Linked DNA regions of Rattus norvegicus. The protein of the gene in region 2 interacts with the protein of the main gene of each other region in a pairwise test. Links are inferred from orthologs where the notes say so. Each region holds a gene or a part of one and is shown on either strand. Other genes may lie near its edges.

Region 1 (4,355 bases), about 5.8 Mb from region 2:
TGTGCCATCTCACAGTGGCACAATTCCCAACTCTGCCAGGCCACCCTCACAAGTTACAGGCCAGAAGACAGGAGGCCTCTGCCTAGCTCTCAGGAACAAGACATACACATAATGTGGGCAGACACAATCAGCGGGAGGCACAGGGGATTATCATTGTCTGACCCCATGACTCAAACTAGATCTTCCAGAACCTGCCATTAAATTCCAACAGGCAGATGCAAGGCTGGCCCTCTTCCCTGTGTCGGGACAGAGACGGTGGAAGGATCCAGATGTGTTTAGTGGTTGGTGTCGGATGTCTTCTAGCATTCATGGCATCAATTCTCTGTGTGGATTCTGATTATCAAATTCTGCTAAACTATCTGACCCCCCCACCTTTTTTTTTTTTTTTTTTTTTTTTTTTGAGAAAAGGCCTCTCCCTGAAATCTAAGGGTCAGCATTTCCATGGACTGGCTAGTCATTCTGGGACCCACCAAGGTTGCCAGAACGTGCCACAGTGCCCTGCTTTTTCGTGTGTAGAGAACCTTGGAGTCAGCTCAAGATACCCTGAGAACAAATCAGCACAAAGGAGATTTATTTGCTCCAGAGGGACAGAGGGCATGGAATAAAGAGATACAAACACAGAAGATGGAGGCCGAAGTAGAAGAGGAATGGAACAGGGAGAGGGGAAAGGGATGATTTACCTTGGAGAACAGAGGACTTTCTCTAGACAGAAAGGGACAGAGTTGGTCCCTAGGAAAATGGAGGTTTATAAAGGTAAAGGAGGAAGCCATGTTAGGATGAGGCGTTTAATTTGATTGGTTATGTTAATTAGATGAGCTACAGGGGGCTTCTGATTGCTGGACTTCAATACTGTGATAACTGTTATCTTGGTTATTAGCCTCAGGAGGTGGAAGTGGCCAGATAAGGAAATAAACCTCAGGGGCTAGCTTCAGAATGTAATCTAACAGTTTTTAGCAAGGCAGAGGGAATGTCAAGAGGCAAGGCCTCCCAGAGCCAGGTTTACCAGGCATGGGTTGGCTACAGTCCCTTCACTGTGGGCATGAGATGCAAACTCAGGTACTCCTGCCTCTACAGCAAGCGCTCTCCCCACTGGCCCACCCTCCAACCCTCCTGCTTTCCTCACGTTTCATGAGATAAGGTCTTGCTATGTAGCCCTGGCTAGCCTGGTGCTGGCTATGTAGCACAAGATGAACCCAAAACGTCAACACCTGTGCCTCAGTCTAAGTACTAGGATACATAGCTCCTTGAAGATTTCACTGCTACAAGTACTATTTGAGCTTGCCCAGCCAATGTCTACCTCCTGTTTGGCGGCACCCACTCCTTTCCGTCCATTGAAAGCACCCCTCGCTGAGATGCAACCTCTATGTAAGAAGTGGGTTTGCGGAAACGGCTCAGTGAGTAAAATATTTGAGCGCAAGCATGAGGATCTTAGTGATATTCCCAGCACCCATGTAGAATTGGGCAGGGTAACCTATTTCTATACAGCCGCTCCTCCACCCCACCCTGCACCCTCCTCCACACCGCACAGTGGTACGTAGATCCCTTAATATCATTGGCCAGTTAGCCTAGCCAAAACAAATGAGCTTTAGGTCAGTGAGAGACGTTTCAAAAACATAGAGAAACCACTGAAGAGAACATCTCAAGTAAATCTCTGGTCTCTATACATACCCACACCAGAGAAAGGCATCCCAGAAGGCCGGGCTTTGGGCAATCTTGCAAACTCCTTCCCACATCTAAACCTTAGCACTGCGTCTGCTGCAGAAATGGAGGCAGGGGAGCCTCCCAACCTCAGCCAACCTCCCCAGCTGTAGTTCATATGCTAAGGGCTAGGAAGAAACAGAATTCTCAACCTTTAGAATACAAAGTCAGAATTAGGGACGTGGCTGAGTTGATAGAGAGCTTGCTCAGGCCCTGGATTCAATTTCCAGCATCACATAAAGTCTGGAATGATGGGTGTACATCCCTATAATACTCCTTAGGGTAGAGGCAAGAGGACCAACACACCGGGGTCATCTTAAGCTGTATAGCAAGCTTGTTAGAAACAAGCCAGCATTGTATAACCTTGTCTCAAACAAGAACAAGGACAACCTCAAACACAGGGCTGCTGAGATGGCTCATTGGACAAAGGCACCTGTGGCCAAGCAAAAGACCGGAGTTCAAGCTCAGGGACCCATAAGGTGGAAGGAAAGAACCAACTACTACACGTTGTCTCTGACCTCCATGAGAGTGCCAAACCATGTGTGCATACACACGAACACTAACTAACTAGTAAAGAAAAAAATTAAACTCATGAAAAACTAAAAAGTTCAAAGTTCAATCGCCCTTTCCTTTTTTTACAAGGGGCTAAAGAGATAAGGGAAAGTCACCCCTGGCGGACCGTCTTGGGGGCCTGTAGACTCCTAGGCTAGCCCCTTCCCAAGCTTATTCTACTGGGATTTGGAAGGAACTTTTGGAGTCTTCAAATATAAGAATCTTGAAGTGTAAGGGAGCAGGTTTGTGAGGGTGGGGTTCTGCAGCTTTTAGGGCGCTCACTAAGATGAGCTCTGACTTTCTCAGTCACCGCCGCCGCCCCACGCTGGGACAGGCTGTGGAAATCAAGATTCCTGCATTTTGATCTCTCTTCCTTCACTTGATCCCGAACTGCCTGGATCCCAGGACACTGGCTCCTTCGGTGCCCGGCTGAGGATTACCGCACCCCTCCTTCTCCCAGCCCCAGCTTCCACTGTGTGTGGAATTGCTCTCGCCAAGGCCACGGAACCACCCACACCTGAGCGACTCCCCCCACTTCCCCGGGCCATTCCCTGGGTCCAGGTTAATCCCCACGGTGGGACAAAAGCCTCCCAAGCCCCCCTACTTACTCACTGCTCTGGGATGGAACTCTGGGGCCCAACTCCTAGATCACTGGGAGTAGATGGACCCGGACTCCCGCAGAGTTCCCGGGCGGGCCAGAGAGGGTGAGTCAGGGCGGGCTGGGCCAGGAGCCGCCCCGCCCCGCCCCCGGGATTGCTCGGCCCCGCCTCACTACAGACGCTCTCAGGTCGACCCCACTCCACGCCACGCGATCGCTAGCGAGGCGATATATTCTTGAGGCAAGGGGCTTTAGAAGGCTGCAGTCCCTCTACCTCCTGGCCACGGGGGCAAACTGGTATCTTGTAGAGATGTACACCACCTGGACAGGTGTCAGGAAAGTGGCTCTGGGAAGGATTTCCTTCAACCCTTAAGCATCCCCAGCTGGTACTAAAGCTCAATCGAGGCACAGATACCACAAGTTTCTGGCAGGGGAAGACCAAGAGCAGAGGGCTATCCCTCTTCCAGAGGTGGTCTGCCATCAGGAGCTGTGCCCAGACACAGGAAGCTAACCCAATGTGGATGCTAGCCTGACTGTCTCTGCTGAAGTTCGTGGTTCATCCTGAATGTTGGAGGGCTGGGGTAGGGACAAACACTTTGCCCAACCTGGACAGTTCCAGGTAGTAGAGTTGGGCATGCAGGCCAGGGGGTGGGGAAGGGTGGGACTAGTTCTTACTTCCCCCACCCCTTCCCCTCAAACTAGCTTCAAATTCTTCCGGTAGACAAGGATGCCCTTGAATTTCTGATTCCCCCTGCCGCCACCACCTGAGAGGATTACAAGAGGGTTTGCAGGCTGAGGGATTACAGGCTAGTGCCACCATGTGTGGTTTCGGTAGTGTGGGGGATAGAATCTAGGCAAGCACTCTATCAGATGAGCTAAATCTTCAGCTTCTGAAAGGCTCATTAAAAAACCAAACCAACAAAACAAAAACCTGCCTGGACACTACTACCACCACTCCCCAGGCCTCACAAGAAACTAAAGGAAACTTTGACCCCAGTCGTAGACCATCAAACCAAGAATACTGCCTATTTTCAGCTGAAGGCCAGTAAATTTGAACCTTCATCCATTCTCAGTGTGAAATGCCTTCTTAATAAGGAAAACGAGGGCTGGAGAGATAGCACTGACTGCTCTTCCAGAGGTCCTGAGTTCAAATCCCAGCAACCACATGGTGGCTCACAACCGTCTGTCATGGGATCTGATGCCCTCTTCTGTTGTGTCTGAAGACAGCTACAGTGTACTCATACATAATAAATAAATAAATAAATCTTTAAAAAAATGCAGCGGCTGCTCAAAAAAAGGGAAAACGAACATTCCCCCAACACGCGCGCACACACACACACACACACACATGCACACCTCTGTAGGAACACGCACTCAGAGAAAAGAATTTAGAAGCTGGAGAGATGGCACCACAGTGTGCATTGCTCTTACAGAGGACCTGATTCAGATCCTAGCATCCATATCTGGTGATTCACAACTACTTCTAATCCTGGAGGATCTGATGCCT
Region 2 (3,812 bases):
CAGCTAAACTTCAGGAGAACTTCAGGTTGGTGGATGATGCACAGGAGTGCGGTCGAGAAACCAAGGGAATGGGATCAGGTGGGAAGATCGGCTGTGCAATGTGCAGAGGAGAACATACCTATTGAAGCACAGCGTGAGAGCGTGCAGATGAGAGCACACAGATGAAAGCATACAGATGTGAGCGTACAGATGTGAGCACACAGCGAGAGAGTGTACAGATGTGAGCACACAGCGTGAGAGTGTACAGATGAGAGCACACAGCGTGAGTGTACAGATGTGAGCACACAGCGTGAGAGCGTACAGATGTGAGCACACAGCGTGAGAGCGTGCAGATGAGAGCACACAGATGAAAGCATACAGATGTGAGCGTACAGATGTGAGCACACAGCGTGAGAGCGTACAGATGTGAGCACACAGCGAGAGAGTGTACAGATGAGAGCACACAGCGTGAGAGCGTGCAGATGAGAGCACACAGATGAAAGCATACAGATGTGAGCACACAGCGTGAGAGCGTACAGATGTGAGCACACAGCGTGAGAGCGTACAGATGTGAGCACACAGCGTGAGAGCGTACAGATGTGAGCACACAGCGTGAGAGTGTACAGATGAGAGCACACAGCGTGAGAGCGTACAGATGAGAGTGTACAGATGAGAGCACACAGCGTGAGAGTGTACAGATGAGAGCACACAGCGTGAGAGTGTACAGATGAGAGCACACAGCGTGAGAGTGTACAGATGAGAGCACACAGATGAAAGCATACAGATGTGAGCGTACAGATGTGAGCACACAGCGTGAGAGTGTACAGATGTGAGCACACAGCGTGAGAGCGTACAGATGTGAGCACACAGCGTGAGAGTGTACAGATGAGAGCACACAGATGAAAGCATACAGATGTGAGCGTACAGATGTGAGCACACAGCGTGAGAGTGTACAGATGAGAGCACACAGCGTGAGAGTGTACAGATGAGAGCACACAGCGTGAGAGTGTACAGATGAGAGCACACAGATGAAAGCATACAGATGTGAGCGTACAGATGTGAGCACACAGCGTGAGAGTGTACAGATGTGAGCACACAGCGTGAGAGCGTACAGATGTGAGCACACAGCGTGAGAGTGTACAGATGTGAGCACACAGCGTGAGAGTGTACAGATGTGAGCACACAGCGTGAGAGTGTACAGATGTGAGCACACAGCGTGAGAGCGTACAGATGAGAGTGTACAGATGAGAGCACACAGCGTGAGAGTGTACAGATGAGAGCACACAGATGAGATCACACAGACCAGAGCACAGCCTGAGAGCAGGCTGAGGAGAGAGAGTTGGTTTCCCACAAGAAGGCAGGAAGGCTGGTATGCTCAGCCTTCCATGGGAAGAGAAGTTCTGTGAGGGCAGGACAGACTTTCACTTTTAAAATGTATCCCTAGCAGCTGGGATGGTGCCTGGAGCACTTTAGGGAAGAACTCTGATTAGGAAGCGAGGCTGCAGTCGGGAGGTGGCGCATGCCTTTAATCCCAGCACTATGGAGGCGGAGGCAGGCTAATCTCTGAGCTTGAGTCCAGCCTGGTCTATGAGTGAGTTCCAGGACAGCCAGGGCTACAGGGTTGTCATGAAAACCAGGGTGAGGCTGCATGAGGTGCTTGAACTGTGGCTGCCATTGGCAATGAGGGTCACAGCAGCACCCCCTGGAAGTGAACGACCTGGAGTCCAGGGAGGAGTGCGCACTGAGTCAGGAAGGCAGTGGCAAAGGCCTAGACTGGAGAGGTAGCAGGGAAAGGGAAAGGGGGAGGCGGGAGGGAGGCCTCGGAGGATCCCAGCAAAGGACAGAATGGGGTCAAGGGAGACGGTTCTTGTGCTTGAGCTTTGAGAAGTCAGTCTTCCTTTTGTTCGTGAATATTTTTCTCTTAGAAATTATCCCCCCCCTTTTTTTTATAAATCACAGGGACTCAAATGGCCTGGGCAGTTTCCTATGAAACAGGACACTCGCTGTCCCCGTCCTTTCAATAATGTCTTCTAATAATAGGAAAATATCTGGTCTTACGCTAGTGCTTTGGGGGACAGCTGTGTCTTCCTAAGGGAAGTAAGTGCTCTGGGGACCACGGAGAGCAGCGACTGAACACCCAGAGCTGGATGCTGGCAGGGCATCAGAGAATGAATTTATCCTCCGAGCTTGTTTATCTAGTCATCAAGGAACAGAGGGACCAGTTGGACGTGCAGGGAGGAGATGGACAAAACACTGGGTATGAAATAAAACCAATGGGAAAGAAGAGTCTGGCCTGGTCAACGGTGGCCCTGGACTAAGCCAGAAGTATGGAGGCAGAGTATTGGAGGATCCCCCTTCCAAGTGCCCAGTCACACATAAGACTGGGATTAAAGTGAGAGAAGAAAATAACTGGGTATGGTGGCTCTCACCACTAACCCAGCCTTAGGAGGCAGAGGCAGGTTAACTGAGTTTCAGGATCACACACACACACACACACACACACACACACACACACACACACACACTTAAAAACAGTAAAACCAACTTTTCTATAATTCAGTTTCTACACCACCACAATTGTCTGTCTAAGGTATAGTGGAGCTCTTACCTGAAGAATCTGGTCTCCGGCAAGGAGCCTTCCATCTCTGGCGATGGCCCCGTCCCGGTAGACTTCCTGAATGACGATGTTGATCAGTGGCGTCTCATTGCCGCCAACGATGCTGATTCCTAACTGGATGTACGGGTTAGTGCGGTGGATCTCGATGGTGGTGATCTCTCCTTCTGGTAAACTAAGTGGCTGTTGTACGGCTGCCAAGTCAAGCAAGAGAGCAGTGTTTACCTCAGATTCCCCACACAGGGTCTCAGAGGTTAACAATGACTGTGCTAATAAAACAGGGTGAAAATTAGCCAAGGTTTCTTCTTCCACAGGCGATCAGGAACCATCAGTAGATAACTGCTATGTACTAAGCCAGTAGGGACCACACACTAACAGACGGCCACCATGCTCAAGCACAGATTGCGCAAGACTGTAGGAAAAAAACCAAACCAAAACGCCGTGGTCTGGTGGATAACCCCAGACGGCAGAGAAAAGGCCATAGCTGCACCGACTGGTAAGGGGTGAAAAGTGTCACAGATGTGTCAAGAAACATGAACACAGAGGGCGACTTACGGTCTCTTAGAGAAAATGAGTTCTAGAAGGAAGAGCAGCTCAGGCTCTGTGTGCTCCTAGTGGGTGTGCAGGTAGCAGGGGTGTGGGGTCGGATGCTGTACCCCCAGGCACACAGTAGCCAGCTGTCTGAGCCTTCACCTTTCAGGCTCAGGGCTTTTAACCTGGCTTCGTTTGCTTATTTACTTCTCAATGCTACACGATTTACTGAACTAGCATAGTGTTTAGTGTAGTGACTTTTGAGTTGTTCGTGTTGCATCTGTGGTTTTGCAACCACTGTTCTGATCACGCACTGAGAGTAGCGGGTCTCAGTGGGTAAGGATGGGAGGACCGGCTTCCTCCAGTAAAACTCCTGCTTTATTTCTGGACTGCAGCCAGCTAGAGCTGCAGGGTGCAGCGGGAGTGGTGTGGTATGCAAACTGTACTCCAGTGTAACTGTCTTGGCAGGACACCAGTGCATGCTGGACGGGCAGGGGAGGAAAGGCCAGGGAGACCAGATAAACCAGGAAGAGGTGTGCGGCACGTACAGTCAGCTGCAGCGCTCTCCTCAAAGGCGGGGTTGTCCAGGCCGGGATCCTCGGTCCACACAGGAAGAGGTGCAGGTGTCGAGTTTCTCTCTCCAGGCACAGTACCCAAGCAGTCCGTTTCTGGGGGTGAGGGGCCTGGA

What was found.
Region 1: the proteins of Lnx2 (region 2) and Lrrc8e interact in a two-hybrid assay, tested with the Homo sapiens proteins (3 studies listed by BioGRID and IntAct). The link is inferred for Rattus norvegicus from reciprocal best matches to the Homo sapiens genes LNX2 and LRRC8E.

The regions. Positions count from the first base shown.
Region 1 is NC_086030.1:7,374,721-7,379,075, reverse strand, and holds the start of Lrrc8e (volume-regulated anion channel subunit LRRC8E), read right to left. Parts: upstream 2,930-4,355; 5' UTR 2,863-2,929; exon of another isoform or gene 2,859-2,862; intron 1,495-2,858; exon of another isoform or gene 1-1,494. UniProt on the Homo sapiens protein: Non-essential component of the volume-regulated anion channel (VRAC, also named VSOAC channel), an anion channel required to maintain a constant cell volume in response to extracellular or intracellular osmotic changes.
Region 2 is NC_086030.1:13,163,938-13,167,749, reverse strand, and holds part of Lnx2 (ligand of Numb protein X 2), read right to left. Parts: coding exon 3,673-3,812; intron 2,788-3,672; coding exon 2,588-2,787; intron 1-2,587.